Linked DNA regions of Xenopus tropicalis. The protein of the gene in region 3 purifies or fractionates together with the protein of the main gene of each other region. This does not show direct contact. Links are inferred from orthologs where the notes say so. Each region holds a gene or a part of one and is shown on either strand. Other genes may lie near its edges.

Region 1 (4,326 bases), on a different chromosome or scaffold from region 3:
ATGTATGCAGCGCTGTACAGTAGAACAATGAATTAATACAAAAGGGAGTTATTAAAATAATAATAGATAAATACAAAGTATAACAATAAATACAAGGTACAGTTGCACAAGGATCATTTATATTGGAGTTGGAAAAGTGCTACAGAGTCCCCTAACATGTATTATGTACCTGAGCTAGTGAGCACAAAGGTAGTTGTGGCTTTGGGTGCAGCTACAGTTATAACAAAAAATAGTTTTTTACCAGTTGCATGCGTAAACAAATACATTTTACAATTTGGGTGCATAAAAATACTGTCTCACCTCTTCATTGATGATTGTTGCATTGCTCAGTGAGCGCAGTGCTGAAGTAATCTTCCGTCCTAGGTCTGCCAACACCATCTTGGCTTCTGTTTGTTACACAACACCTGTATGAAAACACAACATGCTTATCAGAACAAATGGAAAGTTTATCATGAACAAACAACAGATATAATTAACTTGTCAGCGACAAACATTATGAAAAAACACATTTAACATACATTGCCCTTTAACGTTCCATTGTGATTGCAGTAAGGTAGGCAAGTATCAAACTTCCTTGCTACAGGACACTGAAGGCAGTTTCCAGTGTAAAACCTACTAGCCTCAGAATGTGCAATGCCAGTCATAGCCAGCATAATACATCATTCATATGAGCACCGGCAGCACCACAATACTTTCTAATACAGCCAATCGCTCTGATCAACCCATTGATGCTAGAAATGATGTTGCTGGGAACCAACTTTCCTGCCAGCTCCCATTACCAGAGATGGTGCTCTTAACAGGAGTAAGTTAAATTAGATAAGGTTACACTGTGTGACCTGCATGGATCCAGGCTCAGGGCTAAAACACAAGCCTTTCTGATCACACCTGTAGTGGTGGTAAACATGCTATGCTACTCATGTAAAGGATAGCGGACACCCTTTAAAGAAACATGCACAGAACTGTTGGGGCCCTGCAACCAAAAGGTCTAGTGATATTCAGTTTTTATTCTTTGGGATGCAATTATACTTATGTTATCTGCTGCATGTCACTAAGTTCTGCTTAGGAATAATAAAATCATGACATCCTACAAGGGAATGAATACAACTCACGAGCATTTATAAAATGCTGCTCTAAAAGCATACTTTATATGTGAACATTCCTTAAGAAATGAATCTCAGAGTTCAAGTACTACGTTTCCCATACTTTAAAAGCAGCAAACACTGGATGATGGAAATGTGGAAAAAGATCCTCTACTATTCTGAACAGACTTCCTTGCTGCAATACTTTTAACAATTCAATTAAAAAAATTACATTCCAAAAGTTCTCTGGGCAATATATATATATATAATATAATATATATTTTCTACAAGCCTTTGGTTCTCCTTTAACAAAGGATTACTCGCCAACAGTTGGTTGATCACATCTGGCATCCTAGGTCAAGACTCATGTACCCATGAATGATCAGTCCTAGGCATGTAGAGAGCAGTTTTTACCTTGCTGGTTGACTTCCTCACTGCATTTTCAGGAGCTTTGGCCTTTACAATGGCTGGCACTATTACAGAGCTCAGGCTACACTAGTAGCCTGCATTATCTAAATTACAGCTGCTGTTACACACCTAACACCTCCTGTAGTGGATTACAACAGCAATACCCAGCAAGTACTTCTTAACACCCCCTGAAGTACACATTAGTGCAGATACAGGTATGGGATACCTTATCCGGAAACCCGTTATCCAGAAAGTTCTGAATTACGGAAAGCCCGTCTCCCATAGACTCCATTTTAATCAATTAATTTGGAATTTTAAAACTCATTTCCTTTTTCTCTGTAGTAATAAAACCATACCTTGTAATTGATCCCAACTAAGATAGAAATAATCCTTATTGGATGCAAAACAATCCTATTGGGTTTAATTAACGTTTTATTGATTTTTTTAGTAGTATGGAGATCCAAATTACGGAAAGACCCCTTCTCCGAAATACCCTTGGTCCTGAGCATTCTGGATAATGGGTCCTATAACTGTACAAATGGAATTACCCCTAAGTTTATTCCATCACACTCATCGTGTAGTTCAGCAATACCACTGGTTCAGACCAAGAAGTGGACCATATGCACAAGGCCCCACTAAGACACTCCCATGCAACACCATTCCACAGATAGGGCCAAGCCACTTAATGTAAGAACAAGATCCACATTCTCCAGTATTATTCTTAATACCTATGCTATGCAACAGGTTTAGTTTCTGCCAAGTAAAAAAAAAAATCCACCGCTGGAGTATCATCATCAGTTTTGTGGAACTACACAGTACAAAGAAGCACCTGGAGACCTGCTAGGGCTAAGCACCTAATAGACCCCCAAATAAGAAGTCAGAACAAATATTAAATAAATATTAGTTGCTAAGTATATAGAAATCTAAAGAGGGTTACCATACTACTGGGTAATAACTGCACTTGCATACCTGCATGTATTTGTTCTATTTAGGCTTGATACCCTTACATTTGGCTGGCTAATGTACTTGAATACCATACTGGCTATATTGAGACGTGATGCATCGTGTTATCTAACTGGTCCTTCCCCCAAAGCTTTTTTTTTGCCGAAAGAAATTAGCAAACGGAAAGGCAAAAAGGTCTAAACCTGAGGCAGCTGTTACTCACTACATACAGCCTCACTACCATACCGCAGTGGAGACTGAGATTAGAAGGACTTGAGACTTGCATGTAACATAGCTTACCTGATGAGAAATAAGCCCCCAATGTGGGGGTCCCTCAGCCCTCCCACTATATGCTTTTATATCCCCAACTGGACCGGTCGATGCTCAGGCAACGCAATGTCCATATAACGAAATTACAAACTCAACAGACCGACAGGAATTTCACAGCACGGGAACTTCCGTTCTATATGAAACGTCACCATTCCAAGTTTCCCTTTGACCCGTCAGCTGATATCCGCTTCCGGCACACACGCAGCAGTTTCGCTTATCCAGACACAGACACAGTTTTTTTTTCACATCCCGCAGTCCCGGATTACTCTTTACCAGTCCTGCAGTGCCGTTAATATCAACCTCCTTCACTTCTGCGCAGCTAAAAACAAACCTCACAAGGCTCATCTCGCGAGACCGTGATGTCACGATTACCGTATATAGGCGGAGAGAAGGCGCATAGCGCTGCCTGGAGGGGGGAGGTGAAGTAGCGTCTGGTTCTGCCAGTGGTTACAAGCAATACCTGCTGCTTCAAGAGCTTCTGTTCCCAATATTTTACATAGTAAAGTAAAGTTTATTTCTTGTGCCAGTAGACAAAAGGAATTCTGGGAACTAATCCCAACGAGTTTAAAGAAAATCCCATTTACATGGGTTTAGCCTAGTATGGGTTAAAGCTCACCCACTGGGTTTTTAAATCAGAAGCCGGGATAACAGCTGATCAGATTTCCAACTACAGACCGATTTTGCCCTTCTTTTGCTCATCAGTGTAGTGCAGGGTTTTCTGATCATCTTAGGTAGAGCCAGGAAATGAGAAAGACACTTTGTGCAGGTTGCCAAAGCCAACTTTAACATTTTTGTGCTAACAAGGGGTGGATTTTTCACAGTTTAAAAAAAGGGCCAATTTATAAGATGACATGGTGGGAAATTAGAATCTTCCTTGGCCCCATGCCGTCTCACCTCCTTTACCCAGTTTCTGATACACTCAGCCCTAAACTTACCTACCTGAAGGTGGCCATACACGCACCGATAATATCGTACGAAACCTCGTTTCGTACGATATTCGGTGCGTGTATGGTATGTCGGCGAGTCGACCGATATCACAGGAGGCTGCTGATATCGGCCGACTCGCCAATCTTACCAGTTTGAAAATTTTGATCAGGCGCCATAGAAGGCGCCTGACCAAAATCTTCCTTCAGCGCTGAATCGGCAGAAGGAGGTAGAAATCCTATTGTTTCTACCTCCTTACCTGCCGATTCAGCCCTGAATGGTGTGTGGCGGATCTGATGATGTTTGGTCGCACGAAACATCGTCAGATCACCACGTGTATGGCCAGCTTAACACTTTCTTACCTCCTGAAACCAATTTCTGATACACTCAGCCCATCTTACCCACCTATTTAACCTCTCGTTTTCTACTGGTACTTTTATTGTATAAACAAGCACTAATCACTAATCAATCCTGAAAAAAACTTCCCTTTATCCTAGGTACCCTGTCAACTGTCGCCCAGTTTCCTTTCTAATATTTGCATCTAAATTGTTGGAAAGGCTTGTTTACAACCGCCTGGTCCAGCATCTCACTCACAATTCCTTTCTTAACTCCCTGCAATCTGGCTTCCGCCCAACACACTCAA
Region 2 (3,655 bases), on a different chromosome or scaffold from region 3:
TTCCAGCTATTAAGCTATATTTCTGATCCGGCATATCTGATGGACAACATGTAATAGGACTGCGCTGTAGGTGTGCAGTTACTGTTGCCTATGTGCAAACTCTGTGCTATATTGTCTAGAATTGCACTGTAGCAATGGTGACTGCCTGCAGAGTGCCAGCTATACAAACTCACTTTCTACCAGTGGATGTTAAGTTCATCTGTATACCAACATACAAATGACTGTTTTGTATCTTTAAAAATACATACTTAAATATATCTTAACATATAAGTTTTTAGAAAAAATAAGTATTTTTAAAAAAAAAAAAAAAAATCTTAAACACTATTTTTATATGCATAAATACCAAAAATGTAAAAAAAAAAAAAAAAGTAGCAACCTTTTTATTTTTCTTATAATTAATTAGCAGGTGGTGTTATCTGGTTGAAAAAGGTAGTTATCTCCCTGTCTGTCTATCTACATGGATGGTAATTAACATTTAGGGTACTGGTAAATGGAGAGATTAGTCACCCGCGATAAATCTTCAATACTGCCCAAAATGTTTTCCCACTGGCAATAATGTAAAATTGCCTGCAAAAAGACATAAGCAGCACTTCGTTTATTGAAGTCGGCCAAAAGTTTCCTCTCATTATTGCAGGTGAGAATGCATTTTGAGGAGATTAGTAGCCCGCGGTAGTGGCTTATTTCCCTTTGTGCCAGTACCATAATCTGCTTTATTTGGCTGAGCATGTATAAAAGCAGATCTGGTGTTCTTCTTATTTTTGGATCTGCTAGTGCCTCATACCATGCACCAAGAAGAATCATCAGATCTAAATTTCTGTCCAGGAAGGCCAACTGTGATCCAATAAGTTCCAAGGACTGTTTGCCCAAGCTGCACTCAAATAGTTGAGCAAGAGGACAAAACTACTCAACCAAATGCAAGCATGCAAAATAATGATATATGTTTTATATATAAAATGTATGGTTTTAGTTACTTTAGCTAAACAAGGCAAAAAGGAGTGTGGGGGTAGTTTGTTTATATAGAGCTCATTATCTCTAGTTGAACTAGCTAGCTAATTATAGGGGATTTAGTAAAAAAGAAAAAATTACAAAGACTGTTTTGCAAAAAAAAAAAAAAAAAAGTAGGCAAAAGGGTATATACTGCCCCTTTAACTAGTGAAGTCTAGTAGGCCTAGATATTTTGTTTTTTTTATTAAAATGCTTAATACAAAACTGCTTTTGCAAATACCTCTCATAACCAAACACAAACATATTTCCACATCTGAAAACTGTGTTTAAATGCACAGTGAAAGGACTTACTTTGAAAGTACTCTCAGAGGTATAACCTCTTCTCCAACTCGGTGTCTCTCTTTATGCTTCTTCTTCCGCTTCCTTTTTACTTTTGGCACTGATATTTCTTTCTTATCCACTGCATCCTTTTCTTCTTCTGTAGAGAGCTCTGTTTCATGAACAATAAGATGCAGAAACCATAACATACCATACTATACTATAATTATTATATAACACTTGAGAGCTTATTATCTTACATAGATGCTAAGTGCCATGCATCAAGTGTATTTGCTGTTGCCTTATAGCAGCCAACCAGTATTTAGTTTTGAGTAGTATTATTTTAGGAGCTAGAAAATGAAAGCAAATACCTGACTACTATAGATAAGATATATTTATTTTATAGTCTGACTGTATACATATTATAGAATAGACAAAAAGGATAAACTTGGGCAACAGATCTGTGGAGACAATACCTTTACATTCTTGTAATACTTCTTGAGTTACCATTGGCTTCTCATCCTGAGGCAGGTCTTTAGTATCACTTTTCTTCTGCTTAGCAGAAGAGCAGTCATGTTCCTCTGAGCTGCTACACTTTCTTTTGCCTTGCCTGACTTTCTCAGACTGATCAAAACTCTCTGCTCGCTCTTTTTTCTTTTTTTCCTTTTTGGCAGTCTGCTTATCAGCTTCCTGTACATCAGGTACTGAGCTCTCAGATACAGTCTTGCGTCTCTTAGGGACGCCTTCAGAAATTATGTCCATATCTTGCTCTTTAGTATCCTCCTCTGCCTTTTCGACACTGTCTTTTCTTGCCTTGGATTTCTTTTTCTTCTTCTTTTTCTTTTCTTCTGGAAATAATAAACAAGGGGAATTTACTTGGCTGGCTCGGTTAATTTGGATATATCACCTGTACTAATGTACAGATAAAATCATTAAATTGTATTTTACCCTACAGGGTATATTATTTCTATTACAGGCATAAGATATAGGGCCCGATTCACTAAAGTGCAATAAAAATTATCGCACGCTTTTTTGCGTTAAATAAGTCGCGATAATTAGCGCACGATTCACCATAGTATTATCACGTGCGTTAAGTCGCCATTTTCGCATGCGGTATTTTTTGCACTAGTTTTAACGCATGCGTTAATTTCCACGCTGAAAAGAATACGATCGCATGATTCACTATAACTTAGGCGAGCTAAATATTGCATTCGGCTATGCGAAAATTAACACCTACTACAGGCAGGCGAAAAAATTTAGAAAAGTACAGTAAATGAGTTTTTGCCAATAAAATATGGACTTACAGTGTTATTTATTCAAATATGTGTCTTTTTACTCAATTTTACTAAAGTCTTGGCATGTATGGAATTTCGCTACTATTATACAGTACAATAGTGGTAACAATTTAGTCGCCAAAATATACAGTACAATAGTGGTAAAAATTTAGTCGCCAAAATATACAGTACTATAGCGGTGAATATTTAGTCGCCAAAATATACAGTACTATAGCGGTGAATATTTAGTCGCCAAAATATACAGTACTATAGCGGTGAATATGTTGTCGCCAAAATATACAGTACTATAGCGGTGAATATGTTGTCGCGATATTATACAGTACAATAGCGGTAAATCTTTAGTCGCACAAAATACATTACTAGTTATAATAATTATAGAAAAGTACAGTAAATTAGCTTTTGCCAATAAAATATGGACTTTGCAGTGCTATTTATTCAAGTATGTGTTTCCCCTAGAGTGACGCAGCCGCCAGTTTGCAAGGAAATGGTAATTTTTAATACAGTAATTTTACGAAAGTATTGGCGTGTATGGCTAACATGGTGTGCGTTCATATGCGGCTACAAGTGATGAAATGTTTCGCCAGGCATGGATTCGCAGCAAATTTTTGCACGTGCGGCGAATTTTTAAGCAGCAAATTTTTTCATGTGTTTCGCAAAACAATCCGCCAATGGCAAAATGCATAAAAAAATTCGCCACGCAAAAATTCCCTGCACGTCCAAAAATTGGCAAAGGCTTCAAAAAATTATAGTCGCGGGCAACAACTTGCGTTAATTAGTATGTAGTGTATTTTCTGCCGAGTGTGATAACTCTAGCACTTCTTTTTTTTTTCTTACTTATATTTTTATTGTTTTTTGGGGTTTTTTTTTTTTTGCAAATAAACATTTATACAGCACCTCTCTAGCACTCTGTGCTTTCCCAGGGCAAAATGTCGCCAATTTTATGCTGCCGATTGTCGCGTGCTTAATGTCGCGACAATTAGCGCATGCGAAAAATACCGCGCACGCTATTTATCGCAACAAAAATATTGGATGAAATACCGCGCGTAAAATAGCGCAAGTATGCTTATGGTGAATAGTGTGAAAAGTCGCGAAAATTA
Region 3 (2,984 bases):
AACGTTTTAAAATGGGGGTCACTATTCAAAAAGCTACTGCCCAGTGAGGCTACAGTTATTGTTACTTTTTATTACTTATTTTTCTATTCAGGCCCTCTCCTATTCATATACCAGTCTCTCATTTGAACCACTGCTGGTTGCTAAGGTAATTTGGACCCTGGCAACCAGATAACTGATGAAACTACTGAGCGGAGAGCTGCAGAACAAAATAAATTACTTAAAAAAAAAAAACAGACCAATTGCAAGCCGTCTCCGATTACTCTCTACATCATACTAAAAGCAGACTCAAGAGTAAACGTTCCCTTTAATAAGTTCAAGTGAAAGCATCTTGAAAATAAAAGGAGTTAAGTTGATAATTAAAAATATAGGTTTTATTGGAAAGGTTCATAGAGGGTCTAGCCTCTTTTCAGAGCAAACATTTGGTACATTGAGACCTCTCTATTGCCCCTCCCCAGCCCCACCCTGGGGCAGTCTATCAGGCTCCACCCCACAAGCTGTTTGTCCCCCCAACTATTCAAATAGGGGGACAAGGCGAGATGAAGAGACAGCCCTGATAGAAACACAACTAAATGAACAATTAGCGATGACTAAGGGAATTTATTCTATTGATATCATTTTATACCATTTCTATATTTAAAAGAAAAAAAAATAAAATAAAGTCGGTCCATGACATGCTCAATACATCTGTTTTTGGAAGAAAGATCCATTTTCCTTAGTACAAATCCCAAACAAAATAAATAGAAGCTTTCCACTGAAAGCATAGCACTCTTCTGCCTCCGTCTGAGCAACTCCCTGCATGTGTGGCAGCTCAGTTACTCCAGACCTCTAACTGTCCCTTTTCTCAATCTTCTTACCCCCCACCCCTCCCCGGCCACGGTGTAGTGTGACCGCAGCAGCCCCTTCTCTCCTCAGTTTCAGACATTCAGTCTGTTTCCATGGCAGCACTGCGGGATTCCCTGGCAACCATTAGCCGCATCAGCTGACTGTGGAATTTCTCGATCTTCTTGACGTCCTGAGCCTGGTCCGTCCTATACAGTAAGCACTGAAAATAGAAAGGGAGGGGGGGGGAAACACATCAGCTATTTCAGACAGTCTGATCTTTTAGCCCCGTAGCGCAGTCTTATGGCGGATGGTGGCAATGCCAAGGTGACACATAGACAGATTGGCATCCCCGTATGCTAAGTGTCACCTCACTAATGCCTAGCGGGAACCCGCTGGGTGCTTCCTGATATCCCCTAGAACCTACAATGTAAAGATAAAACCTCCCTACCATTCTCTTGGGCTATTCTTTCCCATAACTACCCCCTCCATTCTGGCTGCCTGTATCCCTTACTGCCCACTCCATGGGCACAGTGACACCCAGCTGCTATTAAAGGAAAACTATACCCCCAGAATGAATACGGAACCAGACAGTTTATATTATGTTAAGTGGCCTATTAAAGAATCTCCCCAAACTGGAATATATCAGTAAATATTGCCCTTTTATATCCTTTCCCTTGAGCCGCCATTTAGTGATGGGCTGTGTGCTCCCTCAGAGATCAGCTGACAGGAAGTGATGCAGCTCTAACTGTAACAGGAAGTAGTGTGGGAGCAAAAGGCAGAACTCTGCCCATTCATTGGCTGATGGGGCCTAGCATGTATGTGTGCCTTGGCTTGTTTGTGTCCTCTGTGACTCCTATGATCCCAGGGGGCGGCCCTTAGTACATAAAATGGCAGTTTCCTATTTAGGATTACCCAATGGCACATACTGCTAAATAAGTATATTTATATGAAAATGGTTTATTTAGATGAAGCAGGGTTTTACATATGAGCGGTTTATGCAGTATATTTTTAGAGACCCACGTTGTTTGGGGGAATAGTTTTCCTTTAAACGCAAGGGCAGCCTGCAGGGGCAGTATTGGGTGTTTGCACCACTGGAGAACAGAGACCAAAACTGAACCCCCCACGGCTAATAGAACTTGATGACTTGGCCACTTCAGACTCACAAACCAACCTGTATCAGGCAGGCTAGAAAATCCCATTGGACATGGACGACATCAGTGGACTCATGTGCCCCTCTCCCAACAATCTTGGACTGAAGCATGAAGTGATGATTGGCCCAGGTTCCAAATGATCGGATCATTCTACATTTGGCCCAGCACATTGGTGACTAAATCGGACAAAGTTCCGCTCATTGGGTAACCATGCAAGAGAGGATCTTACTGTGTGTGGTGAGAGAGTAACCAGCACTTTATGGTAGCAGGGAGGAATCCAAGCCTTGGTAGTTACACTTCCTTGCTAGAAAAGGACAACAGCCCTCAGATACACACTGTGTTACTAACAGTATCAGGACCCCTGCCTGCCCAACATCCCATAACCAAACCACAGGGCTTATATGAAGTTGCCCCTCTAACTGCCCCTACACTTCTGGGAAGGTTCTCACTAGATACTGGAATGTCATTGCTCCTCCCAGCAGCCTGCTCAATCAATACGTGGCCAAACATCTTCCACATATCTATCGGGCAGGGATGTGGAGGTGTACGGCCAGCTTTACTCACTTTACTACTCACAGGTGCAGCCAGTGAATGAGGAGCAAACCTGCATATAACACACTTACCACTACATCATCTGTAACTTTAATACAGAGGTTCCCATCACAATGTCTGTATTTCAGCACAACACGAACCTACGGAAAAAAAATAAATAAAATGTTCATTTAATGAAAGAATCAGCCTGCCCCCACAGAAGAGAACAGTTTTGCCCTAATTTCATAATACCAACAGAACCAGTAATTTGCCTTCATTTTTTATGTTCATAGTATTTGAATTAGTTTATAGGTTCAGGAGCTCTCCAGAATGGAAGTTTAGCAGCTCTCTGGTTGCTGTGGTCCAGTTTACCATAGCAACTAGGCAGTTGAGTAAATGAGAGAAGGAAAGATGAACAGGAGAGGCCCTGAACAGAAAGTTATCAAAAGTAACAATAAAAATTAAATATAAAATAACTAT

The links.
Region 1: the proteins of srp9 (region 3) and srp54 purify together in Homo sapiens (co-immunoprecipitation; 4 studies listed by BioGRID and IntAct, counting the BioPlex papers as one, with this or other methods). This does not show direct contact. The link is inferred for Xenopus tropicalis from reciprocal best matches to the Homo sapiens genes SRP9 and SRP54.
Region 2: the proteins of srp9 (region 3) and larp7 purify together in Homo sapiens (affinity purification with mass spectrometry; 3 studies listed by BioGRID and IntAct, with this or other methods). This does not show direct contact. The link is inferred for Xenopus tropicalis from reciprocal best matches to the Homo sapiens genes SRP9 and LARP7.

The regions. Positions count from the first base shown.
Region 1 is NC_030684.2:109,397,277-109,401,602, reverse strand, and holds the start of srp54 (signal recognition particle 54 kDa protein), read right to left. Parts: upstream 2,856-4,326; 5' UTR 2,730-2,855; intron 405-2,729; 5' UTR 379-404; coding exon 301-378; intron 1-300. UniProt on the Homo sapiens protein: Component of the signal recognition particle (SRP) complex, a ribonucleoprotein complex that mediates the cotranslational targeting of secretory and membrane proteins to the endoplasmic reticulum (ER).
Region 2 is NC_030677.2:68,982,411-68,986,065, reverse strand, and holds part of larp7 (la-related protein 7), read right to left. Parts: intron 2,112-3,655; coding exon 1,740-2,111; intron 1,607-1,739; exon of another isoform or gene 1,436-1,606; coding exon 1,297-1,435; exon of another isoform or gene 772-1,296; intron 142-771; exon of another isoform or gene 79-141; intron 1-78. UniProt on the Homo sapiens protein: RNA-binding protein that specifically binds distinct small nuclear RNA (snRNAs) and regulates their processing and function.
Region 3 is NC_030681.2:8,410,267-8,413,250, forward strand, and holds the end of srp9 (signal recognition particle 9 kDa protein), read right to left. Parts: intron 2,668-2,984; coding exon 2,597-2,667; intron 1,043-2,596; coding exon 923-1,042; 3' UTR 583-922; downstream 1-582. UniProt on the Homo sapiens protein: Component of the signal recognition particle (SRP) complex, a ribonucleoprotein complex that mediates the cotranslational targeting of secretory and membrane proteins to the endoplasmic reticulum (ER).